Linked DNA regions of Oreochromis niloticus. Each later gene encodes a partner of the first gene's protein in a complex. Links are inferred from orthologs where the notes say so. Each region holds a gene or a part of one and is shown on either strand. Other genes may lie near its edges. The genes, in order: npr3 and nppc.

The links.
Region 2: the proteins of npr3 (region 1) and nppc are in contact, whole or in part, in a crystal structure (PDB 1JDP), measured with the Homo sapiens proteins. The link is inferred for Oreochromis niloticus from reciprocal best matches to the Homo sapiens genes NPR3 and NPPC. Residues at the interface, in NP_001191304.1 of Homo sapiens: Asn110, Tyr138, Ala141, Pro142, Arg145, Ala161, Gly163, Phe164, His166, Glu170, Tyr171, Tyr204, Lys208, Leu209, Arg211, Tyr214, Phe215, Leu217, Glu218, His221, Glu222, Gln225, Ile233; in NP_077720.1 of Homo sapiens: Gly109, Cys110, Phe111, Gly112, Leu113, Lys114, Leu115, Asp116, Arg117, Ile118, Gly119, Ser120, Met121, Ser122, Gly123, Leu124, Gly125, Cys126.

The regions. Positions count from the first base shown.
Region 1 is NC_031977.2:300,385-316,614, forward strand, and holds the start of npr3 (atrial natriuretic peptide receptor 3), read right to left. Parts: upstream 6,714-16,230; 5' UTR 5,280-6,713; coding exon 4,619-5,279; intron 1-4,618. UniProt on the Homo sapiens protein: Receptor for the natriuretic peptide hormones, binding with similar affinities atrial natriuretic peptide NPPA/ANP, brain natriuretic peptide NPPB/BNP, and C-type natriuretic peptide NPPC/CNP.
Region 2 is NC_031980.2:34,349,889-34,366,129, reverse strand, and holds nppc (C-type natriuretic peptide), read right to left. Parts: upstream 6,702-16,241; 5' UTR 6,283-6,701; coding exon 6,190-6,282; intron 5,093-6,189; coding exon 4,820-5,092; 3' UTR 4,795-4,819; intron 3,729-4,794; 3' UTR 3,163-3,728; downstream 1-3,162.

The DNA.
Region 1 (16,230 bases):
GGCTGCACGGCTGCAAAAACAAATACACATGTGCGCCTTGGCGCTTGTGCTGTATGTAACAAGTCACGTGATGTGACACTGCGGCTGTGATTGGTTCGGCTCTGCGCTACTTAATTTTGATTGGCCGTTCTTTTTTCTTTTTTTTTAAGAGGACAAGAGAGATGAGGCCTATCGCAATAGTTACATTTTTCTATCGAGAAAAAGTTATTTCGCAATACATATCGTTATCGTTCTATCACCCAGCTCTATATGAGGTCTTTAAGATATCACTGACCTGATCATTCAGGACTTGACACTGGATGGAGAAGGATTTTAAATTTAATTCGAGACTCAGTAAGTCAGTAAAGAGAAGCTCATATGGGCGAAATATGAGCTCTCGTTTTAGTTCCTGTTAGTATTCTCCCTGCTCTGTTATTATAAAACGGCAACCTATACTACATTATTATTATTAAGGAGTTCCTATTACTGAATGATCCTCTCATTGATTGTCATTGACTTCACTCTTAGAGTCACCACTAAGCAGCATATTAATGACATGACATTTGTGCACATGGGTGGCTGTAGCTAAGGTGGTAGAGCAGATCAGCTACTGATTGGAAGGTTGGTGGTTCGATTCCTGGCTCCTCCAGTCTGCATGCCAAATATCCTTGGGCAAGATACTAACCCCAAATTGTCCTCCGATGCGTCCATCGGAGTGTGAATGTGTGTGAATGCTTATTAGTTGCACTTGAGTTTAGAAGTGCTTGTGTGATTGGGTGAATGAGGCATGTTGTATAGAGCGCTTTGAGTACTCCGGGAGAGTCGAAAAGTGCTATATAAGAATCAGTCCATTTACCATTGGATGCAATGTGGTCAAATGTCTGTGTTTGTTGTATCTCCCCTGTCAGTTGTGATCAGTGCTGGGGTCGTCATGTGTTACACACATTACACAACACTGTTCTTAAAAGTAATCCAGTGTGTTACTTAATTACTACCAGGAGAAAATAATTCATTATGCTACTTGTTATATTAGTGTTGCATTTCGCCATGAGATGACCTGAAACACATTTAAACCCAAGTCTCCAGTCCCACACAAAGCCCTGTCCTAATATGATCTTTCTCTCAGTATTTAGGTATGAACGAACACAAAGATGAAAACACAAAGCAAAGATGAAAACCAGAACAAACTTTATCACCACAGTGACTCTACCTTAGAAACATGAACAGGTAGAAACAGAGGCTGCAGTCCAACTGCTTACCTGTTTGTTACCTGTTGAAGTTCAGGCTCTGGCTGCTAGGGTCAGCATTCGCCCACTCTAACATCACTTTGGGTTTATGGCTAGCTTAGCATTAGCATGCCATCTGTGTAGATGGATGCAGCTTGCACTTTAACGTTGCGCTCTCATCATTTTATGTAGTAAAAGTAATGTCCATATCCATGCTGTAGACTGCAACACGCAGACTGAAATCAGCTGATTGTAGCTTGAGTGCATGTCACACTGATAAGCAGACTAACTATTCACCCGAACTGAACTACTGTGACTCAGCTCTCTGCAAAACTGAGTCCCATCCCTACTGTTTATGCAAGATATTTGGACATTATTTCTGTTTTAGCAGTAATAACTTGCTATTAACCACAGACGTCATTATTTCCTTATTGCTGATCAAGCATCTCTGTGCTGTCAGATGAAAGCAACACCATACAGCACACAAAAAATAACTAATAATATGTAATTATTATCAAGTTGACCTGTTCATGTTGGTGCCAGGACACCACTCTGGATTGTTTGGGCCCTTCCAGCCGTGGTGATATTTCCCAGTACAATAGTTGCTTTGCAGGCTGTAACGCTGTGCTGTCTCTGAGTGACGGGCCAACAACACCATTTATAAAATCATGTTGGCAGTTGTTTTACACTCAATTAGTTGTTCATCTTGAACAAGTTGTGTAATATGCAACAGTCCATACAGTGTTGCACTTTATGATTAGAGTATGTTTGTGGGCATTTCTGGTCTTCTGGACTCTTCATACAGAGTTTTGTGTAAAAGCTGATCATGTCCTACAAACGTGACATCATAACAGATGAGAGAAGCAACTGAGTGCCAGAGGGGAAAAAAGCTGAGAGCTGTCACAGCATCATCAGACGTGATGCCTCTCACTGGAAGCTAGTTAGGAAAGTAAAGATTTACATTTCTTAGAAAAACCTGCTGTGTTCACATTGGTTATTGATATTTTTGTGTAGCCGTATATGAAACATGGAGGAGGGTTCAGCTCTGCCCACTGCTCGGTTGTTGAATCCCATAAAATATCTCAAACTAATTTCTTGCTATCAAGTGCACTTAGTCTCTCGTCACCATTTAAAGTTTATCACAGGCAACTTTTTAGGACACCGGCACAGCCGCTACTCTGATACGGTGCCACTTCCTCAGGGGCTGTCATGACCACAGCAGCGGTGCCAACAAGCTGCTAATCAGTGTTTTAGCCTCGCGCTTTAAGCACATACCACATGTTCAAATGTGTTGAGTGAGTCCCTGGCTGGATTGCTGGGTGGCCCTGTGATTTGCTGCATGTCATTACCATGCTTTATTTACCAACAGTAATCCCACTGGTTTAAATGGTCTTGGCTTCTTTACTTTCAAGTGGAGTTTTGATTTTAATGGCTCCATGCAAAAACACCTCTGGACACGCTCGCAGAGAAGAAGCTGTGTGACATAGTGATGAGCACTGAAACAGAGCAATCATGTAGACGTGACAGCATACATGATGCTGGTTGGCTGCTGTGGTTCCAGGTGAGTTGGAAATGTTCCTGGAGAGAAGGAGTCCAGATTGTCAAGTGAGAAGCAACAAAACCTTTAGACACGAGATGATGAACCATGCAGACAGCATGCAGGATGTTATGTAAGTCTGTCTAAGCAATGGAGGCAGTGGGTGGGGTGAGGCCAAACAAATACACACATGCCTATCACCAGTGATAGCTTGTGCTACACGAGGGATGTTTGCTTGGGTCTGAAGAGGAACGGGCTGAAAAATCACTGCTTTTTAAAGTATTTATTAATGTTTTCAGAGCTGTGAGGAATCACTGCAGAAGCAGCAGAGTTATATCTGACAGGGTTTCTCTCAGTTACAGGACGGCTTCCTTCTGTATTCATCTTAATTTTCTAAAAACACCAGAGGTTTTTAAAAATCTGGGATTATAATTGGATTCATTATTATAGATGTTAAATTATATTATCTACTGTAGATAGTGCCATGCAAAAGTATTCGACCTCTTTCTGATTCCTTAGTTTTTTGCATATTTATCACACATGATTCAGATGAAACAAATTTTAATAAGATAACATGATTGGTTTTTAATAATGGTTTCACTGTAAGATTAAACATATCAGATTTGAGTGTGGACTTTGAATAGGCCACTAAAAAACCTGTTTTTTAAAAACTATTCAGAGGAAGACACTCTGTGTGTCCTGCTGCAGAACATGAGTGAGCAAACTGACATTGTCCTAGAATTCATGGTTCCACTAATTATATCCAGATCCTGAAGCAGCAAAGCAACCCCCGACCATCACACCACCACCACCATGTTGAACTGTTGGTGTGATGTTCCTGTTATGAAATGCTGTCTTAGTTTTACATCAGCAGCGATGTCCATAGACCATTTCCCCCCAAATAATCAAACATCGTGTTTTGGCCCATGTGAGATGAGCCGGCGTTTCTCCTGGAAATCGCCCATCGATGCCGCTTCGCCGTCTCTTTCTTATTGTTGAATCACAGGCTTTGACATTAAAGGGGTGTGGCTAAGGAAATTAAACCCAGCTCTCCAAAAATGATGTGGTTAATCACGTGACTCATGATTTAACAAATGGGGGCAATTACTCTTTTTTTTCACAGGACCAGGTGGGTTATTTAAATCATCATGTAAAAACTGCATTTTAAATTTGTCTAATATTAAATTTGTTTGATGATCTGAAACATGAAAGTTTGAGAAATGTGCAAAAAAAGTGAAAATGCTTTTTCACTCTGCCTTTTGTTATGTGAATCGTGTGGTAAGAGAACAGGACAGAATAGGGAATAAGAGGAAACATCTCTCACAGCTTCAGGTTGCTTATTGTGTCTGATAAAACATTTAGTTGATTCAATGAACTGTCAGTTAATCCCTGTGCCTGAACAGATTGTGCTGGTTTTGGTAATAATGCCATTTATTGCGTGTACTGAAAGGCTGTGGAGGAGAAGATTACAAGACTGACCTAATTCAGACTGCTGAAGCTGAAACTTGGATAGTTGTTAATGTACAGACTGTGAATTTGTGTGACAGTGCAGGTATATACTTGTACTTACATTTTCTGGCAGTGCCTAATTTAGCCCATTATGATTGTTTAATTACCTGAAATCTGCTTTAGTGGAGGACTATGAAGTGCATGTACAAACTGATATGTCAGATAAATACAGGGTTGTGAAGGGCACATCAGTGTAGGGCTCATTTGTTTCATCAACTGAAACAGAACACAAACAATATGTAGTCTACACCAAGCTATGAATGATGGTTAGCTGTCAGCCAAATCCAGTGACCTAAAGTCAAGACTTATTTCAGACACCGTCTAATTAAGGGAGACGCTTTAAAGTGACTAAGGAAAGCTGCTTTACCTCCCATGTCATTGATGCTTCGCAGGAGCTCGTCCGTGTCCAGGGGTTTGTCTTCAGTTAACACATAGCTTTCGATGTTATAGTTACTCATCAGATGGTATACTCCTTCTAACGTGAAGTAACAGTTCCGCTGCTCCCGGTCGTCCTCGAAGACCAGCAGAGCGCTCTTCCAGGTGAAGTGTTCAAACATCGCCGTGAAAGTCTCTGCCATTTTCACGTAGGACGGGGCGATGCGAGTCAGGTGGGAGTATTCTTTGTTCTTGTTCGCGAAACCCGTGGCGAGGGCACCTGCCGAGATCACCGGGATGTTCCAGTGGGACGCCAGCCTTACCACTGCCGCAGCCTCGTACTCGCACACAGGACCCAGGATCAGGTCGGGCTTCTGTCCGCAAGACCTGTCCGCTAATGTGAAGAAAGCATCATAGAGGCAGTCGGAGTTTTCAAACTGGATGTTGAAGTTGAACCCAGAGTACTGACCCCCGTCCGCCTTCAGTCTCTTTTGTGCGTAATGGATCGCTGGTGCGACTCGTTCATATGAAAAAAGATAAGAATTATTTTGTGGCAAAAATACCAAAACATCTATGTCCTCGGTGATGGTGTTTGTCATAACTGGGCTCAGGGCTACCAAGAAATAGACACATAGTGTTCTCAAATGTGGCATGGTAGCACTTCCTCTTCAAGACAGACAGCAAAAGACTTTTAGAGAAATATTCTTCCAATGTTCCTTCCCTCAAGTTGGCTCTCGGCAGCGCACATAGAGCTGCAAACAGAAAGCCCTCTGTCGTTAGTAAATGCCTTAATAGTAAATAACTGTATTTGTCTTTGGGAGAAGCCAATCTGCCAGAATGGGTGTGTTTTATTCTGCATTTAGAGTCGCTTCCCAAGCTTCTGAACCTGTTCAAACTATTTTCTCAACAGTTGATCGTGCCAGGCTCGGAAATTCTTCCAGCTCAGTCAACAGCCATCATACACGCTGGCTCCGGCCTGGAGTTTAGAAGCATCTTTTCAGGATTATTCATGCGTCATCGGAGCGCTGCCCACCTCCTTCTTAAAGCTACACCGCTCCCGAGCGCACAATGAGCCACTTCAACGTAGCACGACTTAATGCGCTCCAGTTAATGCAGATGACGGCTCTTTATTTCTTGTTGATCAAGCTCTAACCATCTGTAACACAGCTATAGATCATTTATTTAGACAGGGTCAAACTGCAGGTGTGCATGGACTCTGCAGTAACCAAGATTTCTGTACAGACATTTTCAGCATTAGTAGCAAATAAGTCGAAAGACTGGTGGAAAAATGTGACCAAAAATTAAAATTTTGATGTTGATGGTATACAAACGATTTAAATGAAGCCCTAAGTTCTTTATTTTTTAAATGTTGGCAGTGAACTGGCAAAGAAATCATTTTAAGCTCAGCAGTGCATGCTTACACTGCTGACAAGCCTCTTGCAAAAACACTGTACACCATAAACAACAGTATAAACGACAAATTACAAGTCATGTCCGTGAGAAACAGGAAGAAACCCAGCAAAGATCTGACACAGGACCTGAGAGATGCATCTGACCCTCCAGTGGATCCATCTAATGTCACTGAGGCATCATCAGAAATGCTCCCAGTGAAAGCGTTGTTGTCAAGAAGCCATTCTTAAGGAAACAGGGAGGAAAGGCTGAGGTTTGCCAAATTACTCCAGAACAAGAAAAAACAAGAAAAGGACAAACATAAAGCAGAGATGTGTTTCTGTCAGAGGGGTTAATGTGTGGAATAGTTATGACAGTGATTTAAAAAAGGTGTACTTCATTTTCCTTGTTTAAAAACATGTTTAAAACTAGAGTTTCAAGAATGAAATGAGCAATAATAATAATACTGAAACTCTTGGTTGTTTTGCTTTGATTATTGTTATGAAATTTAATTTAATGTATTTACTTATCTAAGGTGGAAGGTTTTATGTTTTGTTTTTTGTTTGTTTGTTTTGCTCTTTTGCTTCAAGCCCTGTGTACACGAGCTGCACACTAAATGATCTTTTGTTTAAAGGCTTGGCGTAATACGCATGTGATTAGCTTTGTCTCATGCTTTCTTGCTTTGTGGTAGATCTTAATTCTGTATTCATTGAGATATTTGAATGCTAATCAAATAAAAATAAATGTTAAAAAATCACTGGAAGGCCGTATGGAGTGGAGAATCCAGATTAGCCTTTTTGGATCCAAATCGCCATCAGTATGTTCAGAGGAGCTCAGGATGGAGGTACCACAAGTGAGGGTCTACAGCACAGGTGTCGAATTCCAGGCCTCAAGGGCCAGTGTCCTGCAGGTTTTAGATGTATCCTTGATCCAACACAGCTGATTTAAATGGCTAAATGACCTCCTAAACATGTCTTGATGTTCTGCAGAGGCCTGGTAATAAACTAATAATTTGATTCAGGTGTGTTGGCCCAGGGTGAGATCTAAAACCTGCAGGACACCGGCCCTTGAGGCCTGGAGTTCGACACCCCTGGTCTACAGCATGGGTCCCCAATCCCAGTCCACGAGGGCCGGTGTCCCTGCAGGTTCTAGATGTGTCCTTGATCCAACACAGCTGATTTAAATGGATAAATGACCTCCTCAGCATGTCTTGAAGTTCTCCAGAGGCCTGGTAATGAACTAATCATGTGATTCAGGTGTGTTGACCCAGGGTGAGATCTAAAACCTGCAGGGACACCGGCCCTCGCGGACTGGGATTGGGGACCCCCTGGTCTACAGTCATCTTTGGAAAACAGTGGAGGCTCGGTCGTGGTTTGGGGCTGTGTTTCAAAGTCTCTGATTGGACAATGATCCCAAAGATGCTACCAATGCAGTAACTGCATACCAAGATAGAAAACACACAACACAACATTATCAGTAACAGACTGGCCTCCCCGGAGTCCAGATCTCAAAATCATTGAATAGGTGTGGGATCATCTTGATAGAAAAGCTTTGAACGTCCTTCAAGAAGCCTCGAAAACTATTCCTGAAGACTGCTTGGAGGAATTAAAAGAAAGCTGCCAGACAGATATCAGTCTGTGTTGAAGAATAACCGCAGCCGTGGTGAAGCCGTATGAAACAGATAAATTGTAAATAAAACAGTAGACAGATAGAACAAGTGTGTGCACAGTGATGGAGTTCACGGCCTGTACTAAGAACACAAACAGCAGAGAGATCCAAACGAACAGAGTGAGCGACTCCTGTGAATGAATAAACAAAGCAAACAAAAAAGCTTCAGCTCATAACCTCTGCACTTATCATGGCTCATTAACATGTGTCACTAATGACCCTCCTACTGACGCTGTCTAAAGACACCTTTTGTTTGCTGGCATTCAGACTGCAGTCTGCTGACGTTAGTGCTGATGTTTTCCACAGATTTTGTAACATTTAAAATCATTACATGGAAAATGATGTGGAAAGCATTTTACAGAATGTAAAGAATAATTCTGCACATCTTTATTTATTGTACAAATTACACCAATTAGACCACTGCCTAGAGAAATTATGAAATTATGGTCATTAGGCTCAGCTCAGCGCACATGTAATCTCATCTTTTACGTCTGGATTCATGTTTATTTTTGAGAAGGAAGTCTGAGCAGACATCCTGCTGAACCTGTAGGCTCAGCTGTGCCTCTGCTCTTTTTGTTGTTGATCATTTCTGACATCAGAATTATACAGATGCAGTACTGAGTGCATTGTGCATTGTGCAAGAAAACGGCCAATTTGATTTCCCAGGCTGTGCGTTGATAAGCATGACTGCACTGACTTCAAGAATATCCAACACCTTCAGGATGAACATGAAAATCAGTTGTGGCCAAGTCCTAACTGCCCACATTACCTAATGCTCCTGAAATTATTTCATGTGATACACATTCTAATTGTTTTATATGTTTTATGTTATATTTACTTTTGGTTACAGGCATAGAAATACAGTATATAGGTGAACTTTTTGCCAGTGATCCATTGCACAGTTACGCAGCCTGACCTCAGCTGTCTGCTTCATTAGTCTGGCCATAAATGTCTTTAAGGACACGATAAATAGATAAAGAGAAACTAAAGCTTGCTTTCCCGTGTTTTTCACACGCTGTCATAGCACTGATGTACTGAAGCAACAGTATCTAACACACAGAAGTGTGTGATTTTACTCCCCTCTGCTGGTCATTTCTTACACCTGGACACTGAAAATGCAGCCAATTTAAAGAAAGTGTCATGATCGGCTGTGTGGCAGGCAGGCAAGCAGCAGTGGTGGATCCAAAATGCAGGACTCAGACATGGAAGTACAACTTAAAGCGCAGCTTTATTGCTGGGAAAAACCTCTTACTTAACTAAACTCACCAAAAGACAAACAAAAACCCTGGAGGAATAAAACACGGGAACTGGAATACTAAACAGTAGTGATGGGTCCAGCAACACTGACGCACCGGCGCATGTATCAAGCTCACCTAGCGATGCCTGTATCGGTGCATGCGTCGCTTTAAGAAAAAGTCACGTGATCGATACAGCTGCTGTATCGCTCATTACCAACGTGCCAAGCTGTGTTTAAAAGGTACCGCATCCGCATCTGTCAACGGAACGAGTCGCCACCAAAACCCCCCCACAAATTGAGTCTCGCAAAGATAAATAAAAATACACATCTTTCCATAACAAAATGGAAATGTTTCTGCTGTGTGGGATCATTTTGATCTTTTAACTGCAAATAGTTTGTCTGTCTTTGTTTCAGTGTAATCTATCAGAATAGGAAAAACAGCAATGTGACCTGCAGTGTAAATTATTTATTTCATTTTATGCAGGTTAAATGTCGCATCTGTTCTGCAGAGCTTTCTTACAAACAAAAGCACCTCCTCAGTGTTACAGAGGCATTACAGAGCCAAACATGAAAATGAGGAGACAAACACACTGAGAATGAACACAGGTCGGCCTATATTGACACTGAACAGCTTTATCAACACTTTTCTTTTTTTTTATTAATATGTGTTTTATTATTTTGAAATCAAGCATCTAGGAAGACTGTTCTGGACCAGGCAGTCCTGAAGTTTATTATAAAGGACTGCCAACCCCTTAGTATTGTGGAGAGTGTCGGAGAGAAACATTCCAAGATTAGAGGATCCTTTAAGGTACTGGGGGAATAGGAAGACATCTTATCAGAACCTTTTCCACCTGACTTTACAGCTTTTGTGTACCCCAGCTTCATCTGTGGCTGTGAGTTTTCCAAAGCTGGGGAAATGGTGTGAAAACCCCCCGCAATAGACTGAATGCAAAAACATTGGATAAACTTATTTTTCTGAATAGAAATTTATAATAAACTCTGAATCAATTACATTTAAATGGGTAATATTATATTCACAATACTTTCATTTTAATTTTTACTTTATGTCATTCACAATATATTTTATAGATGTCTACAATATTTGCAATGTAAAACACATAAAATGATTCCATGGAAAGTACAATACCTTACAGTGTATACACGTATGACTATGTCATTGAATCAGTGTCTGTTGTGAGTCTCAAGTAAGTTCCCTGCAATGATATTTAAGGTCCAGCAGGTGTCAGTATGGAGCAAAACAGCAACACTGTGTCGACACAGTATTGATACAGTTTGGGGAATGTGCTGAAACGCTTCACGAGCCCTCATCTACCCATCACTACTAAACAGGAGCTGGAGACTAAACACTGGAAACACGGAGGCAAAACACACAGCTAGTGGAGGGTACGACACGACAGAGAGCACAGGAAAACACAGGGCTATATACACAGGGAAGTAATCAGGGAATGGGCAACAGGAGGGAGACACAGCTGGGAGAAATTGGACTAACAAGACAGGGGAGAGGTAAAATTGAACACACTGACATCACACAAGACCATGATCCTTCAAAGTAAAACAGGAAACAAAACATACTTTACTAAGACACGGACTAGACAGAGAGAGACAGACTAGACACTGACCAAAACCTACTAAATAATAATCATAATCAAAACAGTATCACTGATTAATCAGAACATAATCATAATCTAGAAAAACACCAAAACATGAGAAACAGAAAGCTGGGTCAAAATGACCCAGAACCGTGACAGAAAGTGATTTACTGTAACATTCAAATTCAGTGTTCAGAGATGCACTGCTTCACACTGTTGCCTCACAGAAGGGCTCTAGTTCAAGCCAGCCGGTTTTTCTGTATGGAGTTTCATATGTACTCGATGTGCCTGCGTTGGTTGCGGGTGTATTGTGGCAGAGAGAGAACTCCAAGGATCAGACAATCCCACTTGACAATGAAGGGTTGGAGGAATTCCTTTTTAAATGGGAAAGAGTAGCCAAAAGTAGACACGACATGCAGCACTGGCATATAAAGGCAATGGTACTGAAAGGAGGTTAGTGGGGGAAAAATGCTCAGTGCATCATGGGAAGTCTCCCACAGCCTGAGCCTCAGCCTCAAACTGCTGGGATATACACCTACAGCAGGGAGGATATAGTACCATCACAGTATGAGGCTACGTCCACACTAGCCCGAAAACGGCGTTTTCGTCGGAAAACGCTCCGCGTCCACACTGTCGTTTTCAGTCGTTTTCACAGAGTTGTGCGTCCACATTGAAACAGCCGAAAACGCTTACGTTTCAGTCCTGCGCATGTGTGAAACGCAAGAAGATTCGACCTGCCTCATTTCTGTCAGCCGTGTATTTACTTTCTGGCTCTCTGAAACATCGCGGCAAAATGTCGAGGAAAAGCACCGAGTTTTTGAAATGGACTAACAATGAGGTGGAGTTGTTGCTGCGAGTAACACAAAAGTACAAAGTTGCAAAAGCGAGTTAGAATTAAAGAATTTGAAGAAAAGCTATCTGGAGCATGTACAGAGTGATATTAATCTTTAATAGGGCTCAAACAAAACAATTGCTGTGTAATGCCCTCTGCTATCTTGGTTTAATTGGTCACATGACTGCATCACATGACTAACATGCGTCATTGTTTTAGAAAGTCTACGTTTTTGCTGTCCACACTGGGCCTGGAGAGTCCCTGCCTTGGAGCCAGCCACACCTGTGATAATCACTCACCTGTTGCTGATCTACCTAATCAAGGAGCTCTACTTAAGAGAGCAGTGGAGCAGCAGTCGGTGCGGGATTGTTAAACTAGAAATACAGTTAGTGCACAGCTTGTGGTTTCAATTACTCTCTTGTTGGAATGGTTAATGTGTTTAGTCGGCCGGTGGATGGGACGGTACTCATTGTGGCATCTCTTGTTTCCAATGTGATTACAGAAACGTGTGGAGGGAGCAGCACAATGTTGAACACAGGCACCGAGGAGGACGAAGCACTACCACGCATCACGGAGAGGAATCACGGCACGGGGAATTGGGAGAGCACACACTGTGGATTGTTGGCGCTGTTTTCTCTGTAAATAAACACACTTTCTCCATTCTAAAAGTCTGGCATTTGGGTTCTCCTTCAGCCAACCTTGACATGTGGTTTAATTTAGTTGTGTGGATGCCCTCAAAGGCATCCACACTATTGAGTTCCTGTTTCTCTTTAAACTTTATTCTTCAAGTTGCTCCCCCGTTTTTCGGCACTTAACTACTCCCTCAGTTTTCAGCCGATTTTCTCCGTTCAAACTCTAAACTGTTCTGCTCTTTCTGCTAATTCCAGCTATATCTTTTGGTGTTTATTACTATTATACTTTTTAAAAATTACACTTTTTTCCTTTAATTTGTCCCATTGAAATGAATGGAAAACTTCCACAATTCTGCTAAAACTTGCTTGGTTTTGAAACTTAACTACTTCCTCATACTTTCACCTAGAAACTCCATTCAAAATTTAAAATGTTCTCAAATTATTGGCCTATTCCTGTATAATTCAGCTTTTTCAGATCTTCTACCGTTTTAATCTTATCCCTCTTTAAGTTTTCAGTTGCAAAATTGTGATTTTTCAGAAAATACATGCGTTGCTATGGTTGCTATGCAATTAACTCAGAGTGTACACTCGTCCATTCTGAATTTTCTCTTCATGTTCCAACAACTTCTTGCTACTCACTCAATTTCCACTCAACCCCCACAAATTATACATCAAAACGTAGGTATTTTTGCTGGCTTTCAGGCAATGTCACTATCTTTATTGTGAGATTTACCGTTTTTTCGCAATTTGCCTCGAAGTGACACAAGGTCTGAAAACTCCCCATTCAAAGTCTATGGGGAGGTTTTAAAATTCAGAGCTGAAATTCTCTAATGAGAGGCATTTTCAAATCGTCATATCTCTTTAACAAAACAAAGTTAGGACATGAGGCTTGTGCCAATATATCTTCAGACACTGCTGACACTCACAGTGGAAGCAGTTTTTACAGTCATCTTACCGTTGAGCAATGAGTTACGTTTGTTTGAGGGGTGGAAATCTGTCCTTCTCTCAGTCTTCAAACTCTGGAAATGAAGCCGTTTCTTCTCTCGTCATATCTCCGCGACGGAGGTACAAAGAGCTATGAAAATCGCAGTCAAAATACACCAAAGTCCGCTGATTCACCCAGTACAAGAATTATGCTGCTAGCCCTCCTAGTTTTTGAGTTACACGACATTTTGTAACTCCAAAAAACGGCGTTTTTCACCTCTCACCGCGATCTAATTCTGACTCCTCAAGTCTCTGTGTTTTAGACACCCGCCCCCTTTGTGACCAGACCTCATTTGGCTCAGAGGGTTGAGCAGCTTCTGTGAGACCTGGTGGCAGAGGTTCGAGTCCTACCTGTGACAGTTGTTACACATCTTCCCTGCTTGCATGCACTCTCCTTTCTTGACACTCTTCAGTGTACCCTTACACATAAAGCCATCTCCATCAAGCGCGTCTACACCTCTTTTTTAGCAGATAATTCTGCTTTTTCAGTTGTTTTCAGCAACTGCTGGTCAAGTCTCTGTCTTTCAGCCACCCACCCCTTTTCCAGGTGGCGCAATCAGTAATGACACGGCTCTGCAGCTCAAAGGTCGTGGGTTCAATCCTACCTTGTTCAACATTTTGTTTTTCACTACAAATTTATACACTATCACAGACCTGTAATTTATTTTGCTAATTTATTACAATTCTGCAAAGTTTTATGATTTTAGCAGCTTTTCTAATATAGACCTAAGATTCTTGTTAACATGGCAGAAATACATACAAGTACACAGCCTGATGAAGCAGACAGAGGCAGTACCTCTGATTGGTGAATTTGAGCAGAACCAGGTTGTTCTGCCTCTTTTCAGCAGAAATTCTGCTCATTCACCTCTTTTCAGCGCAACGTTCTGCTTCTTTCCCTCTTTTCTGCAGAAATTCTGCTGAGTCACCTCTTTTCTGCAAAATTTTCAGCCTTTTCACCTCTTATCAGCACAATTCTCAGCAGCTTCTGCTAATTTCAGCAGAATAAGTAATGACATGGCTCTGCAGCTCAAAGGTCGTGGGTTCAATCCCACCTTAGTCAACATTTTTTTTTTCACTACAAATTTATACACTATCACAGACCTGTAATTTATATTGCTAATTTCTTTCACTACAAATGAGTAATGCAAAAACATACTATGTCTGCAACATCACAGTATATCTGTTATGTTATAGTATTACTACTTAATCACAGTATTTCTGCCAATTCAAGGAGGCTGACTGTTACTAAGTGCATCAGTGTACATAGGTCATCTGTTGTGTTGGAGTGCCCTCTTGTGGCGCCTTTTGGGTAGTGCCTTAGTAAACGTGAACACTGCAAAGAAGTGGTATCAGACTGGTTTGTAGTGGAGGAATTTGTTGCCAGTTTCTTTCATCTTTAATCCTTATTCATGTTGTGATGTAGTAGTACCACAATATGGCAGAAACACTATGTTTTGGCACAAATACTTTGATTTGGTATACTTTAGCTTCTTCACCCCTTTTCAGCAAAATTTTGATTTTTTTCACCCCTTTTCAGCACAAATTCCAGCTTTTTTGGCTGGTTTCAGAAAAAAAAACTCTTTTCAGCAGAAACTCTGCTGATTCATCTCTTTTCAGCCCAAGTTTCTGCTTCTTTACTTCTTTTCTGCAGAAATTCTGCTGATTCACCTCTTTTCTGAAAAATTTTCAGCCTTTTCACCTCTTATCAGCACAATTCTCAGCAGCTTCTGCTAATTTCAGCAGAATTGTCCGTCTCTCCACCTCTTCTTTGTAAGAATGACTTTGGCTCAGGGAAATGAATAGCCGGCTTGGGACCAGGAGGGCCAGGTTCGAATCCTGCTCAGGGCGACATTTTTTTTTCACCACCATGCAACTTTTCATCTTTTTCAGCTTTTCAGCAGACAGTTTCAGCGTTAAGGCATCCACACAGCATTTTCGCAGGAAATGCAAATTTTTCTAGTTATTCTTCAGTTTCTGCCTGAAATTTTGCAGCGAAACTCGCCCCACAGTTTTGAGACAAGCTTCATATATGTTACCTCATTTTGTGCGGCTGGATCTGGAATGGTGTGCTATGACTTTTGGTGTTTATGCCTATTATAGTTTTTTAAATATTAATATTTTAGTGAAAATTTTCCCGCGCCTCTCTGCCGCACAGTTTTGACACAATTGTAACATATGTTAGATCATTTTGTGCGGCTGGAGCTGGACTTTTGGTGTTTATGACTTTTATAGTTTTTGAAATATTTTGATTTTAGTGCAAATTTGGGCCAATTTCTAGGCTCCTGAGAAAGATTCTACTTTTGGCCCCATAGAAACAGACTTCATTTGTGGTGTGTTGGCTCTCTCTAGTGGTATAGCCGGAGTAGTACAGGCGAAAAGATCTATGCTTGGACGAAAACTCCATATCCCACAATTTATAGCACGCCTCTGCAGAGTAAACAATGGCGGCCACCACTTCGTTTTATATGTCTTTTATTAGTGTTTCTAGGTCACAAAATCAACTTTTAAGATATTTTCAGGCGAGAATGTAGGTGTGTAAACTTCAAATATCTGCTTGTTTTATCAAGACATCCCATATTAGCGACAGTGCTCTGACGACGTCGGTCCTGCCTGACAGCTAGCCGGCTACCTAGCTAGCTGCCGCACTTGGCTGCAAATGGACAGCGAGGGGACTCTCTCTCTCGTTTCACCTCCCCGGTCTCTCGCAAATGCTCGCACAGAATCGGAGTTACAGCTGGATGTGGAAAAAATAACTGAGTTGTTTGGTGGTGCTATAACGCGGAGCTACAACAGAGGGCAGCTATCCACCGGTGTATGACAGAAAGGACATGCCGCGAACGAGACATACGAGGCGGCGAGGCGACCGCCGATCGACCGGTGGTTGCTAACGCGTAGGTCAATCGTGGATCAGGGAAACCGAAGGCAGGAGCGTGAGGTGAACTGAATTTCAGGTAAGAAGTTATGAACTGCACTCTATTTGGGTCAGATATAAACCGAGTTTAGGTGTAGTTTATTTTCGTTGTGCTGACTTTTTACAATCGTACTGCGTGCTAGCTAGCACGACGGGAGTTTATATACAGCTGTGTGCGCGCTAAGTTACTGACGTTGGACTTTATTTTATTCATAAGGGTTAGTTCGTAGAGTTGCCGTACAAACGGAATCGTCCCACATTCAGAGAAAATATTACGATTTATTCTGTCATTACGAAGCCTCCCCTGTCATTCTCTGCCTGTTGCAACTTCAATCATGATC
Region 2 (16,241 bases), on another chromosome or scaffold:
CCCCAGGAGCCTACACCTATTGCAGCATAACTAAGGGAGGATTCAGGGTCACCTGATTCACCTGATATGCTTTATCAAATGGAAAGTTTTAAGCCTAATCTTAAAAGTAGAGATAGTGTCTGTCTTCCAAATCCAAATTGGAAGCTGAAGAAGGGCCTGAAAGCTGAAGGCTCTGCCTCCCATTCTACCTTTAAATACTCTAGGAACAACAAGTAAACCAGCAGTCTGAGAGCGAAGAGCCCTAATGGGGTGATATGGTACTAAAAGAATACAAAATCACAAAGGAAAGATGCACAGAATTTCCCATTGTCTTTACAGCCCTTTCATTTTATTTCTTAGTAATGTTTTCCATGAAGGGGTATCCCTGGCTCCCTATGTTCAGGAAATGGGAAGATTCAATCCCTCTGCATCAATGCCACTTCATTAGTTATGTCTTTCCACTACAAGGTTGGACCGGAGCCCTTTTTGCTTTTAATTGTTCATGATATAGATTCAACAAGGTGCTGGAAACACTCTTCAGAGATTTTGGTCCATATTGACACGATAGCGTCACACAGTTGTTGCAGTTTGTCAGCATCACATCCATGATGTGAATTTTCCAATCCATCACATCCCAAATGTGTTCTACTGGGCTGAGATTTGGTGAATGCACAGGCTTTCTCAATACAATGAACTCATGTTGAGAAAAACAGATTTGGGTGATTTGAGCTTTGTGACTCGTTATCCTCTTAGAAGCATTCTTCAGAAGATGGTCATAAAGGGATGCACATGGTCAGCAACAATACACAGGTGGACACAAGGGGCCCAAAGTGTGCCAAGAAAATATCCCTCTCACCAGTGCATCAAGCTGAATCACTGATACAAAGTAGGATGGATGCATGCTTGCATGCCAGATTTTGATCCTACCATCCAAATGATGACCGATCAGACCAGTTTACATTTTTTCAGTCTGCCATTGTCCATTTTTGTTGAGCCTGTGTGAACTATAGCCTCAGTTTCCTGTTCTTACCTGACAAGAGTGGCAGCTTTTGCGGTCTTCTGCTGCTGTGGCACATCTTCTTCAAGGTTCAACATGTTGTGCATGCTCTTCTGCATACCTTAGTTGTAACAAATGTTTATTGGAGGTACTGTTGCCTTCCTGTCAGCTCAAAACAGTCTCCAATTCTGCCTTGATCCTTTGTAATCAAGAAGACATTTTCATCTAGAGAACTGCTGCTCACTGGATGTTTTTTTTTTTTAGAAACTTCTCTATAAACCCTAGAAATGGTTTTGTGGGATAACCCCAGCCGATCAACAGCCTCAGGGCCTGTTTTGTATGTGTGTGTGTTTAAAGTTGTGTTACTATGAATTTGACCATCCTACAGTCAATAATATAGGTTCACAAAAAAGAGACAAGCACATCTAATTTATAATTACAAATGTGTTTTCACAGTACACGTGCACTCTCGGTTTGCTTCTGTCAGTTGTACTTCTCTCCAGTTTGCAAATCGGTATCAACCTCAAAGTCAGCACACATTCACAACACTCACACCGTAAATATCATGTTTCATGGTATTAGAAAGGAAATCCTTGAAAAGACTTTTACATTGACTTTACTGTATTAATTAGCTTGTAAAGTGTTCTCTCTGTATTTTTCTGGCTCTCACCCCCTTTTGTGTAATTACACCATGAAATCTTTGAGCAATGGACCTTTTTAGAGTTTCACAACTGAGCACGATTTGTTATCTTTTTTATGCTTCTTTATTATAATCTGGGTGTGTTTGTTTTCCTTTTTAATATCGCGCGTATATGGCCTTTTCTCTATATGCTTGTCTTGTTTTAAGCCTTTTAGTTTGGAAACTACGAGATAAAAAAGCCATTTTGCTTATATATCATCTTTATATAATGTTAAAGTATGTTATTCCTGCAACAGTTTGGCTGTCTGTGCAGGATGTACCCTACGGTACATCCTGCGATCGTGGCTCAAGAGTTGGGAGTTCGCCTTGTAATCGGAAGGTTGCCGGTTCGAGCCCCAGCTTGGACAGTCTCGGTCGTTGTGTCCTTGGGCAAGACACTTCACCCGTTGCCTACTGGTGGTGGTCAGAGGGCCCGGTGGCGCCAGTGTCCGGCAGCCTCGCCTCTGTCAGTGCGCCCCAGGGTGGCTGTGGCTACAACGTAGCTTGCCATCACCAGTGTGTGAATGTGTGCGTGAATGGGTGAATGACTGGATATGTAAAGCGCTTTGGGGTCCTTAGGGACTAGTAAGGTGCTATATAAATACAGGCCATTTACCATTTACCATTTACTCCCCCCTCCCCATGATGAATTGGAGAAGCATAAGAGAATGGATGGATGGATAATTTTAAGGTGAATTTACTGCTTATTTTAAATAATATCGCTCTTAAATTTACCAACTGGTAACTGGATGTAATGTGCAACAGAATTAGAGGAACATTAGGAGGAAGTGGCTTTCTATCATCTTTTTAATTAGTGGTTTGGGATTACAGTGTTATTGCCTGAATTCTAAAGATCGCTTTAAGTCAAAATGTAAATTTTCAGTGTTTTCTTCTATTTGTGCAGCAAATTTGTGCAAGAGCTTTCAACAGTGTGGGTAGATCATGCTAGGTTGAATGCAGCAGTATAGATGCAGCACTCAACAAATCCTTATTGTTTCATATAAACATTTTATCTGATAACACAGAGTTTCAGATATTTGCTAATGTTTGAAACACTTTTTCAAAATCCAAGCAGCATAAAATCTTTAGTAAATGTTAAACTCTGGCTCTCTGTACCAAAGTGTGCCTTTTGTAACATCAACCCAACCGGCTACAGCAGATGGCTGCCCCTCCCTGAGCCTGGTTCTGGAGGTTTCTTCCTATTAAAAGTGAGTTTTTTCTTCCCACCATCAACAAGAGGGGGTCGAATGATTGCTTGGTTTTTCTTTTCTTTCTAATATTGTAGGGTCTTTACAACATAAACCGCTTCGAGGTCACTGTTTCTTGTGAATTGGCGCCATAGAAATGAAACTGAATTGAACTGAATAAAAATGAATGGCGCTCCATCTAACAGCAGGGCAGTCGTTGTTTCTCTTCTGACAAAACCTCCAGAAGCCAGGCAGAAAATGCTCACCAACTAGAATTGACTAGTTTCACGGAACACACAAAGACACCGAGATCAAAGATGTAAGTGCACATGGAATGTCCGTTTTATCGTTTTTGAAAACATTTACAACTATTTGAGACAAATGGGAAAAAAAAGGCAACAAACAGAATTGACCTACAGTTTGCATCCATTTCCAAAATGTTACATAAATAAAATTCATATTTATAAATATCTCTTTTTTTTATAAACATATAAATAGATTTTAAACATAAATACATTTATGCAGGGAAAGATGAAGTACATGAATGTACAGCAGCAGCAGCAGCAACAATATACAGCTTTGCGGTATGTAGTTTTTACACCATTGTCCGCCATGTTGTACTACGCATCTGTGTTTGTATCTGTTGACCATGTTGTATGGTATACATATATGTACTGTATATATGTATATATACCTGCATATTTATTGTATATATATATATAGATCTATATTAGGATTTTGTAGTATTGTCATCCAAGTCTTTGTTTATGCTGGTCATGGTGACTTTCGTACCAAAGAACAATCATGATGAGTTTTTCTATATTTTCCCCTTCTGGTAAGAACAAACTCAACTTTTGTCATCCAAACAAACACATCGTCCAGAGATCTAGAAAAAGAGAGGAAAACAAAAGCAAAAGGTTAGTCTTTCAAGGTCAGCCTAATGAACACATGTTCATTTATTCGCTCTTTTCTTAACGTAATACGTGTATCAGTCAGGGAATCTCCAAATTTACTTGTTGGTTCTTTACTCATTAACTCACTTCTCATCTAACCACTTTACTTCAGATTAACTCACCCGTATGGTGTTAACCAATGAAAAACACACTCACCCATTGTTAGTCACTAACACTCCCCCATACGGATTTCAGAGTTTACCATAAAATCGAAAAAAGGTGTGAAGCCTCAGGACTAATCGTGTGTCACTTAGATTCCCCAATCCTTAATTAACCCACACAGCCCCCTTTTCAGTTTATGTTAAAAACACTTAGTGAAACAAATGCGTTTCCAAGAAAGATCTTGACAACCAAATATGTGCGTGAATGTGTCTCTGCAACCCCACTTCCGTCCTCGATATCTCCCTGCCCTTTTTCTTAAATGTGATATATTGTTCTTGTGTTATAGAAGCAGATGGGATCATTCATGATGATGTGCACAGATACAAGAGTGGACTTCCTAAATGCTCACTGGTTTCTTTCCCATACATCAGCTTAAGTGGGCTATCCACTTAAACTATCCTAAGACTATCCTGTCCTAGGAGGTAATGCTACAAGGTTAAGGCTTGATTATTTCCCTAGATTGAATATTTCTATGTCAAAGGCAGTTAGTGAACCACAATATTTTCCATGTAGCTGAACCATGCAATGCTGCATAAATACATGTGTCTTAGGTATATGACAGATAATCCTGTAAAATCATCCTTTTAACGTGAGGAATACCAACATGAAATTATAATAAATAAAATATTAAAAAATAAATTATTATGCCCATTTTATTAACCAGGCCATTCTTTTTTTAAATCCCTGATTGTAATTCGTCTCCGTCTTGTCTTTCAGCATTTATTCTTTCATTTCATTTCACCCTGTTCATTCTGGGCTCTGTTTACATGTCACTGTTTGTGGCTGCAGTTAGTGTTGCATAATGTTAAAGTGGGACTGATATGAGCGACCACTCACCATTCATTGCAGCGCTGCTCCAGCCCTAGCATCCCATGCCGCTGATGGTGCCTATCCTGTCCATCTTGTGTCCGAAGCAGCCACTCCGTGACGAGGAGCCAGCCTTCTTGCTTCCCGATTTGTGTTTCCTGTTTGGGGGTTGATCGTTGAGGAGACGAGCCAACATGCCTCTGGGCCGGGTGTCCACCCGTAAATCGCGCAGTAAGCGTATCCGAGTGCGCACAGCGTCGAGCCGTCTCTCCCTCTCCTCCGACTCCAGAAACTCCGCCAGCTCCTCGCCCAGCAAACTTCTAAGAGACTGAAAGATAAGAAAATAAATAAACAATCTCTCCCTCAGGCAAATAAATTGTGCAAAGACAAATGCTTTTGATGAAAGTGAAATCTATGGTTTGTGCCCGTTTCAGCAGAGCAGTCATTATATGCTAAATGTTTGAGGTAAACCTCAGCTTGGCATATATTCTAACGCTTTCACAAACGTAATGGCCAGGGGGGAAAACGCGTTGGCATTTTTCTCACAGCACGGCACTCAAAAATTCATTAACTTGTATCATCTAACCAAAAACAACTTTGGGAAAGATCCACGAGACGCTCCAGTCATGAGGTTCAAACCTCGAAGGAAACCCCTGAAGAAGGGAACATCCCGAGAGGGTGCAGTACTTCTGTTTTATTAAGTTACCTACTCTGACACCTCGCTCTCAAAGTGAAGAAAAAAATAAACAAACTTAAAACAGGTGCGTGTAGCTTACTTATCTGTTCGTAAAGTAGACTGTAACGAAGACCTCCAACATTCCCAAATTTTAGTGAGTTTAGCAAATAATTACAACATTATTTCAAACGAGTATTTTTTAAAGGGTCAGCTTTATTCATTCGGGCCAATTCTATGCGTAATTGCGATTTTACGCACAATTTTGTTTTGGTTTGGTGAATCTTATTTTGACAACAATTAATAAATACATAAAATTCCAAAAATGATGTTGATAGTCAGTATAATCGCTTTTCAGAGTTATTGTAAAGCAAGAATTTTAATGTTTTCCCCATATGTGGTTTCATTTAAAAAATCGCATTGGGGCGATTTAAAGTCTAAAAATATCAAAGGGATGCTCGGAAACAAACTTTCACCGGCTGTTTCGGTTGCATGTCACTGAACATGCCGTCTGTTTGTAAATAAAGTGCAAGTGGACAGGGGTGTTACACTCCGAGTGTGGAAAAAGACAGATTTTCCCCAACAGCTTAACAAGAACCAAATTGTGAAATATGATGCGCAAAGCTACTGTCCTGGAGGACCTGTGCCACAGATCAGCTGCTTATTCAGTATTCAGCTTCCAGCAGCTTTAGTCCAAACCAATCAAAAGGTTCTCCTAGTCAGTAATAACAATACAAGTGACTTTTTCTTACCTTCTGCTGCGCTTGAGTTAAAGGTTTTGCCCCCATCCTCACTGAAAGTAAGGTGACCATAAGTCCACATGCTACAAAGTATGACAAGTTCATTTTGACAAGTCTAGCAGTTGTTCGGGGATTCCTCTGCGCTGCAGTTCAGATCGAAGGACGTTAGCTTCAGCCAATCAGCTTCTAAACACAAGGAGAGTCCGTTTTTTACTCCAAAGCTCCTCAAGTGCTTCTCTAACTCTGTGTATTAATCCTCGCCGCTTTATAGCCAGCCCATGGTGATGTCATGAAAACCTGCGTAATGGTTCTCCTTCCTCGCCTATTCACTGTTTTTTGTACCTGCCTCTAAGCACGTCACGCCAGGGATTAATTAAATGATACAAGCTCCGGTCATCGCGGTGTTAGAGAAAATGATATAGGCTATAAGCTATCAAAAGGCACAGACTTTAAGCTTTTAGACCTCTGGCTGAGATGCAACAGCTGAAACCAAAGGTGGTTTCAAAGGCTGCGCGTCAAGAGCTGAAGAGCGACTTTGGCAGTGAAATGAATTCTAGGATGCCAACCGCCTGTCCTGCGGAACATCTTAAAAAGACATACAATATGCTGCGCGTGGATGACATATCCTGTTTTCTTTAACGAAGCGAAAATTCAGAGTCTGCTACTGGAATTAAAGGAATTAGGTCATTTTTTAGATACCTTCCAGAAATTCAAATGTGATTTTCTTCATCTAATCACTTTTTTGGAAGGCACCAAGCGGAATTTTACCAGAAATAATGTGATGTGTTACTGCGCCACTCAAGCCCCGCGTTTTTCATTTATTTATTTAAAGGGTAAAACTTTATTATTATTATTATTATTATTATTATTATTATTATTATTATTGTTATTATTATTATTATTATTATTATTATTATACAGAAGAATGCAAACATACAGAGATGGAATTATTAAACAACCCAGTTTAAGTCATCTGCTCGACGTTATTTACATCAGAGCATGACATCAGCTAAGGGGGATTCACACCGAAAAAACTTCAGACGGTTCATGCTGATTCATAAAAAAACAGAGACACTCATTATAAGTCATGTCATGTGTCTGGATGTAAATGGCAGTTCCCCATAAACCTTTTAATTAGATGGTTTTGTGTTTCATGGGTATCTTACAGTTTGTTTTCTGTCTTTAGATCAGGTAGCCCACTTACAGAGAAGAATCTCAGAACTACTGTGGCTACTCCGACACACACTGGATGTGTGGAGCTGTTTAGACAGTCACCTCCAACACAGAAAGGAGGCTGACTGTTCAGTAGCATAACTGTACAGTGTCCAAGCACCATACAGAAGCACAGACATGAACCCTAAGCAATGATTACCACACCAGTGTCCAGCCATAATTTATGGTGTTATACTGTTCTTGAATCAAAGTTGGCATGTCACTAAGAAAAGCTGCTGCTTTCTTAAATTTTAGCCTGTGAGTCTGCAGAGTGCAGTCAATATGCAGGATATTAAACCAGCGATACTTCTATAAACCAGGAGGAGGGTGACTCTGCACAAATGAGTGAAACTGTACAGAAGTCTATATGTCTATACTTACTTTAGGCTTAAGAATTGGCATTAGCCGCTGACTTCAACCAATGAGTGACGATGGGTTTTCATACAGACTATGTTACTTTACCACAAGTCCAGAGAAGAACAGTTGAATGGGTGTCGGTATAAAATCTGGTGTAAGAAAAAGCCTTTATGACTCGTAGCCTTTCAACCCCTCTTACTGGTTTAGAGAATGCCAATCAACAAAGAGCACTCTCAAGCTATATTCTTCTATACATCATATCAATAAATGAATGCTTTTTCATGTTTAAAGTGTTACAAGTAAGTCTTACCGGAAAAAATTACTGTAGCACTAAAATGTATAAAAAATCTAGCTTTAATCTGCAGCTGGGGATTATTTTTTTTTAACATATAAATGAATGTAGTTGTATTTAAGCAATTTGCACCAGGTTTGTCTACTTTTGGCAGAAAACCAGAGTTTTTAATTTAGTGTCCAGCACTGCTGCACCTGTTTTATGTCAACCAGTAATGACTGGTTAGCCAGAACTGAATAAAGGAGCTGGCTATAGGGGCTGGGAATACGGTGGAAACACCTTGGAAGTGTCCAAGAAAAGTTTCTGATGCTCAGGATTTTAAAAAAAGGAACTCTGTGAGAGAGTGACCCTTCTGTAGAAGTGTGACACATGCATGAGTTGCTTCACTGTCAGGGTTGAGAGAGTAGTTCCATGTTAAATCTAAAAGTTTGACCATACGTGTTTTAAACAGTGTAAACCAAGAAAGTTCAACTATAAAGAAGCGTTTTTTGGTACTGCCTGACATTGATGTATAGTTGCCTAACACTCGTAAGCTCACCCACGGTTGGTTACATATGCCGCTTGACCTGCTTTAAGATATGCATAGAACTGTCACTATTAATTTGTGATATGCAGTTAAAATGATGATGATCTAAAAATGTTTTAAAATAAGTTGCAATCAATCACTATACAACTTAAACGGCATGTTGTCAAGGGAAGTTTAAGCTGAAAAGTCACCCCACTGGGAATAATTTACCTATTTAAAGAATATGCGCACATTTTGAGACAATACCAAAACCCTTGTGAAAAAAAAAATATACTTTTTGCAGTGTGGAGTGTTTCTGGAGTAGTCGAGGCCCCACATAGTGGAGCAGAAAGCTCAGGCAGCACCATCTGTTTTGGAACACAGAGTGGCAGTATTTGCTATGCCGAAAAGCGAATACCCCTCAAAGTCACATGTTAGTGGATCAATACTATACTGTAAAACTAAGTCATTAATCAGCAGATCGTCAGGATTTGAAAGTCCTATAAAGGCTTTTTAGAGCAGGTTTGGCATATGGAAAGTGTATACCTGCATTTTTTTGCAGAACATATATCATATTTATTGTAGCAGTGCTGGCCTACCTGCCATAAAATGTCAATCAGAACGTGTGTTGAATTTGCATTGAATCAAGCAGCAAAAATGATGTTTGGATGGCAGCCAGCAGCAGTGTCATTATTAGGTGTCCATGTTTCAGCCTTTGCTGAATACTCTGCTTTCTTTTTGGTTGCACACCATAAAAAATGATCGTTAATAATAATAATCACTTATGGTGTATATTAAAGATTATGACTATGAAGGCTTAATAAAATACTGTGTGTATAATTAGACAACGTTACTTTGATAAAGCATATAAAGTAAATGGTTTTGCCCTATAAACTCATAAAACAGAGACATTGATAAACTGAACAGATGAACAAGATGACTGGCCAGTGATATATGATGTTATAACAGAGCAACATGCATCCAGACTTTGCTTCTCTTCAAAGACAGGACAAAGCATTACAATGTCAATTTTCCTTCAATCTAACAAACTTACTACACTCATCACTGTCACTACATGCAGAAGTTCTCTTAATTGCTTGAAATGAAAGTAATGGACTTGTTTTGGCTATATAAAGCTATAAAAAGAAAAATATAATGAAAGTTTTTATAGCACTCTGAAGTCGGAGCAGTGCAAAAAAATAAATAAAAATTAAAAAACAAGAGCTAAATATCGGACTTTGCAGACTTCAAGTTCACGATAGTACAATTAGAAAAAGAGTAGAAACAAGTTTGGAAGAGCTGATGGGAGAAAACTTCTGTCTAAAAAGCACATGCCAGCACAGCTTAGGTTTGCAAAGTTGCATCTGAACAAACCACAAGACTTCAGGAACAATGTCTTTTGGACAGATGAGACCAGAGTGCAGATGTCTGACCATAATGCACAGCATCACACTTGGCAGCACACAGCATATCAACACAAAAACCTTATACCAACTGTCAAGCATGGTGGTGAAGGGGTGATGATTTGGGCTTGTTTTGCAGCCACAGGAGTTGGGCACCTTGGAGTCATTAGAGTTGAACTCCTCTGTATACCAAAGTGTTCTAATCCAAAGTGATGCCATCTGTTTGACAGCTAAGGCTTGGGCCAAATTAGGGTTTGGAACAGGACAATGATCCCAAGCACAGCAGCAAATCTATAACAGAATGGCTCAAAAAGAAAGGAATCAGGTTGAGGTTTGGACTTTGCCATGGTCAAAATCCAGACCTCAACCTGATTGAGATGCTGCAGCGAGACCTTAAGAGACCTGTGCATAAATGAATCCCAAAAAACCTAAACGAACTAATGTAATGTTGTAAGAGCTAGACAAAAACACTTCCACAAAAATGTAAAAGGCTGATAAAGACATACAGAAAACTTCTGTTCCTTAAGTTATTGTTACTGAAGGCGGTTCTACAAGTTATTAAAATTACAGGGTGTTCTTAGTTTTGCGATAACTTTATTTTTCACAGAAAAAAAATCATAACACAAATGATCCAATACAAATATATGGATAAATGACTCATGAGTTTAATCTAATGTACTGTGCTCGAGGGTGATCTGACTGTGATATTTTCACTGATTCCCTGGTAAGGTTTTCTTTAAAGTCATCTTCAATTTTAACCAAAACCTCCTGTGCTGACATTATATTTACTTTCTGAAATGACAGTAATAAAATCTGCCGGAGTAAGGTAAGCTGTGGTGATGATAAATAGCTCTTAATTTTGCCTCAATCAGCCCAACTTGGCCCTACCTCTCTCCAGCACTGGATCCCCACAGGGCTGTGTTCTCAGCCCACTACTGAACGCCCTGCACACCTGTGACTCCAAAAATTTAATTTAATTTATTTATTTAGGACAGTGCATGTTAATGAACATAAATGTAAAAAAAATTACATGAATGTAAAAATACCAGATTATAGCCAAGGGCTAATTTCCATCTGTTGTCCTTAAACATAAAAACATAGACATAATAATTCATAAAAATTCATCATTCATTCATAATAAAAACTCCATCACCAAACTTACACATACACACCATTCTGTTCCCAAATAAAACATTAGAATTATACAACTTATACATAAACAAAATAACCTGAAGCTGAACATCCTTAAAACAAAAGCGCCCATAATGGACTTCAGGAGGTACACATTAGTCCACTCCCCTCTTATTATAAACAGAGAACGGATGGGATCTGTCTCCACCTTCAGGTTTCTGGGCACCCACCTCTCCGCCGATCTCGCCTAGGCCCACAACACCAGCGCCCTGGTAAAGAAGGTCCAGCAGCGGCTGCACTTCCTCTGTCCTGAGGAAGAATAACCCAGACCAGAAGCTGCTGATAGCCTTCTACTGCTCCTCAGTGGAAAGTGTGCTCACCTACTGCCTGGGTATTTGGTAGGCAGGGCCCACACCTGAGAACAGGAAGGCTGTGTAGAGGGTTATTAACACCACCCCTGAAGGCCACTGCCAGGTCCTCCTGTATCAGGAAAACCTGTGCCATCACAGGTCACCCCTTGCACCCTGCCCACAACCTGTTTTACTGCTGGTCCATGTTGAATTAAATAAGTTAGTAAGAGTAACAGGAAAAAATGTAGATGAAATTTGTCGTCAAAACATTTGTACTCATGTAGTCCCAAAACAAACTAAAAGATTTGAAGGTTGTTCCTTTCTTATAAAAAAAATGTTGAAATAAAGTAGGCTTTTTAAATCATCAACAGGATGTACTTTTCTGACATGAGTCACACTGTTACATCTGAACTTTTATTACTAGTTTTTTTTTGTTTTAGTTTTTTTCACAGTGTTGATGGCATTTATATTGAAGCATGTTACTCTTTAGTGCAAAAAATAATTTAAGCTGAAACTAATCAACACACGTGCATCACATCACATTGCATATGTGATAGCATACTTATATGCGAGTGGTGCTTCAATAAAAATATGTTTTTAGCAGCTACTGCTGCTAAAAAGGCCATTCACACTCCAAGGTAACTGCAGTAAAGATGTTCAATTGCATGGAAAACCATTTTACTAATCCGCTTTTACAACAGCAATACAGAGCAGCTGAACTCTGCTGACCTTGTGTCCATGATGACATCTTTGGGTTTCGCAAAACATTTTTCACTGATTGCTAATCCCTTTATTTTGAATTTTAACAAGTGAATGACACATTCTTTCTTCATGTCGCAAGTGTTGTGTCACAAGTTTGCCTTTTTTTGTACAGTTTAACAATGTTACACACTTTTCCCAATGACATCACACGGGTTACTGAGAGCACCTATTTTGCTATGTCCTTTTGTACTTCCCCCTTTTTCTCCCTGCCTTTCCCGCAAACTCTTATCCGCTCAATTTTCAGTAAATTTTTAAGCTTTGATGTGGCTGAATGAAAATGAAGCAGCCTAACTTACTTGCACCAGGAAGCTATGCAAACGTATGGAGAGACCATGTGTTGCAGTAGCCTTTGCACTGAGTGTCTATGGGAGGGTTGAGTGTCTTGATTCCTCCTCTGGGTTTGTGTAAGACAAACTACAAGGCTGTTATGGTCCTATAAATAACGGTTTTATTGCGTGTGGAATTTTAATGCTTTTTACACAAGTGCTCTGAAGCCTTTTGCATGTGCCAACAAACACGCTTGCCTTTATTGGCAACACAGAGCTACTTGACTAATGTACACAAAATGCGTAAGATGACTGTGTAAACACACGTTTTGGAATGAACTCGTTTTTCAGGAGGTAGGGTCTCCTGTCTCCTGGCTTGATGTTTTTTGATATTATAGGGGTATGTAATAATTTCAGAAATGTTAACACTTGTTTTACTGTGGAACACACTCACTAGTGCATCATCATAAATACCTGAATACTGTGAAAAAGTACATTTTTGTACTTCAGTACAAGTAAATCAGAAATCCAGTTTCTCAAATGATTAGAGTAAAAATGTACATCTGTAATGATCAAAAGTGTGTTAATTTATATACTCAAAACTATATTACTAATATGCAAAATACTCCATCAGTGCGGCGAGGCATGCAGGTGATCAGGTTGCTTTCTTAGCCTTCAGTTTGTCTGTATTTTTTAGGTCAGGTATTTATTGTCTTCTTCTTGACAGTCTGTGGGGTTTGGGTCGCATGGATTGGCTGGCTGGTCAGTCATAGTAGTAGCATGATCAGCCAAGCATTTGGTAGTATTGGCACTGTGGGCAGGTGATGATTTCTGCTGGAAAAGGAAGTCAGCATCTCCATTAAAGCTTGTCAGCAGATGGAAGCATGAAGTACTCCTAGATGACAGCTGACCAACCTCCACCTTCACCGGCAGATGACATGGCATCCAAATCATCATAGCCTGAAGACCTTATAGCACGTAACGACACTATCCCGGTAGAGAATCTGAGTAAAAGGGCTTTACTTTTGAAAAGTACAGTGGAAGGTGGTGATATCAGCTGTTAGACCTCTGTGCTTTGGAACCAACTCCCAGTTTGGGTTCAGCCGACAGAGCCACACTGTACTTTAAGCTTGAAACTCTTTTGTTTGATAAAACTTATATTTGCGGCTGGATCAGGTGAATTTGCTGCATGGAATATTTTTTTAGTCCTGATATTTTTGTGGAAAACTTATAACCTAAATAAAAATGTAAAAATGCACCCTTAGCAGTCACATCACATGCAACATTATATGTCCCAACTAAAAGCAAACTTTTTGTAAGCTAATGCAGGTGTCACAGCATGTGAGATGAGTTTTCCTGAGAATGGTGGAAGCCCTCCATCATATTGTGTAATGCTGTTCATGCATGAAGCCAAACACAAGGCATAAAGAAACCACAAGTGGAATACAGTCATATGAACAATAGAGTTTTATTGCCTATTCCAAAGCATGCACTTGTGCTTTTACTTTATTGCAATTCCATAACCAAAATATACTGATGAGTTTTGAGCAGACATTGAGGTGACTAAAAGGGGAAAAAATTTCAGTCACTTCAGATTCAGATTTAGCATCTCATGATATCACAGGGGAGCCACTGTGGCATTATAATTTAGATTTTCGCTCAATTCCAAGCATTCCAAAGAGACACAGGTCAAGTTCCTTGTGAAGGTTTAAATGCAGAAATAGTGCAGCTCTTGTAACAGAATGACGCTGCCAGCCATTTGGCCTACTATTCGTATATTTAAGTTGTGTGCCAAAAATACTGTGTGTAATTTTTTGCTCTCATGGCATATTGCCTCAGTCAGAAAAACATTCCAATCTGGAGGCAAGAAGACAGAACATATGAAAATGCTCTTAGGTCAAAAGCTATTCTTACCCAGATTTTTGTTTTCTGGACCACAAAAGATGGTGTCTGGCTTTTAATTTACTGGGTTTGTGTTTAGTCGTTGAAAAGTCTGTAAATGGACAAGCACAAATTGCTAACATGGCCAGATACTGAGCCAATGATTTCAGCGTGGAAAGATGTAAATGCTCATGGCATCGTGTTATAAGTGGCTACAATCATAATTCAATAATTATTCACGTTTTATAATCCCCTTATTATTATTAATGCCATCGCCAAGGTTACTATTACCATTAAAACCATGAAAGTGAATAATATACAGGCTGTTTGAGAAGCATTTATTCCAGTGTTCACAGCATTACCACACATACTTGGTGGCGGACATGTTATTTCAAAGCTCTGGTGTGTCACTTTTTCAAACCATGTGGAAAAATACGTGTTTGGGGTTTGGGTTGCACAAGCTGCGACAAAACCACATGGAAACAGGGCATTTTAAAACAGATATATAATCTTGGCTCGACGTTACAATTTTTTTGCTTGACTGTAAATGGACTTGCCTATTGCCAGACAAATGCCACTGCACAAAAACACTGTTTCCCTAATTAATTTTTTTTATTCGAGACCAATATTTCCCCAATATCTCATTTATTAGTGATTGCTTTTAAAACTTGTAGTGAGTCATGAGGAATATGGTTTTTAAAGCATTAACAGCGGGGTTTTTTTTCTTAACCCAACAGAACATGTTGCTGCAGTGCTCAGCTGCACCACACCATCCATTCATTTTCAGAACTGCTTATCAGGGTCACAGGTGGGGCTCGAGCCTATCCCAGCTGTCACAGGACAAAGAGAGGCCACCTTATTGAAGGGCTGCAGCTTAATACAAACAAAAGGGTGCAAGCAGCGTCCACACATTAGCATCATTATGTTGCATAAGCAAAATAACTGCTACTTACACTATTTGTAAGTGCTACACACTTCTGGAAACATCCTAGAATAGTGATTGTCTAAACTTTGAAAATAAAATGTCCAGGTGAAACATCAACCACAAAATCCAGTGCTTTGTTAACAAAAATCCAATTTACAAGCCATTATTTGTTTTTGTGCAGTAATGTGTTGGATCCATCTGTGTGCTACCTACCTTGATGATTTTAGTGGAATTAAGGAAAGGGAATCTTTAAAATGTCTGTCAGTAACATAAACTTTGGACTGATTGTTCAACACTGCTCACTTGATGACAAAAAAAAGACCCCCAAAAAAGTGTTGAAGTCACGTACAACTAAAAAACAAACAACAAAATAAATATATCAATTATTCTAAAAGGCCATAACACATCCCTGGGGTGATGTCACCGAACATCAGCTAAATTAAAAATCCACATCTGCAGAAGCTTCACGTGAGATCACTACTTTACTCTACTTGAAAAACAACAAGGAATGTGTTTCGGGATAACCACAAAGGAAATTCAAAGGCTTGGAAAAACACTTTACGACATCTAGAGGATGTTTTTTACCACTTAAAATGATTTGTCAAAGACACTCAAACTGCACAATTTGCCAGTGATTTCACAGGATAATAGAATGACAGGTATGCTCATAAACTAATGTAAGAATAAACAAACGTTGACCTAAAAGTTCGAATTCGTACTTTATTAAAGTCAGAATTCAGACTTTTGCTCCCAGAATCCTGAACAGAAATGTCATACCTCCAAAGTGCTATTTTTTCAGTGGCCCTAATTTTCCTCCATAATGTCCAGATGTATAGGAATGTGCAGAAATTACTTAATGGCCATTTTCAAAGCCGTGGGTCAATGAACAGGTCTCAATGGGATAAATAAAGCCTGTGTAAATAAAGGTTGAATAAAATAAGAAAATGAGCATAAAAGCCTATCAGACTCCAAAACTGTCT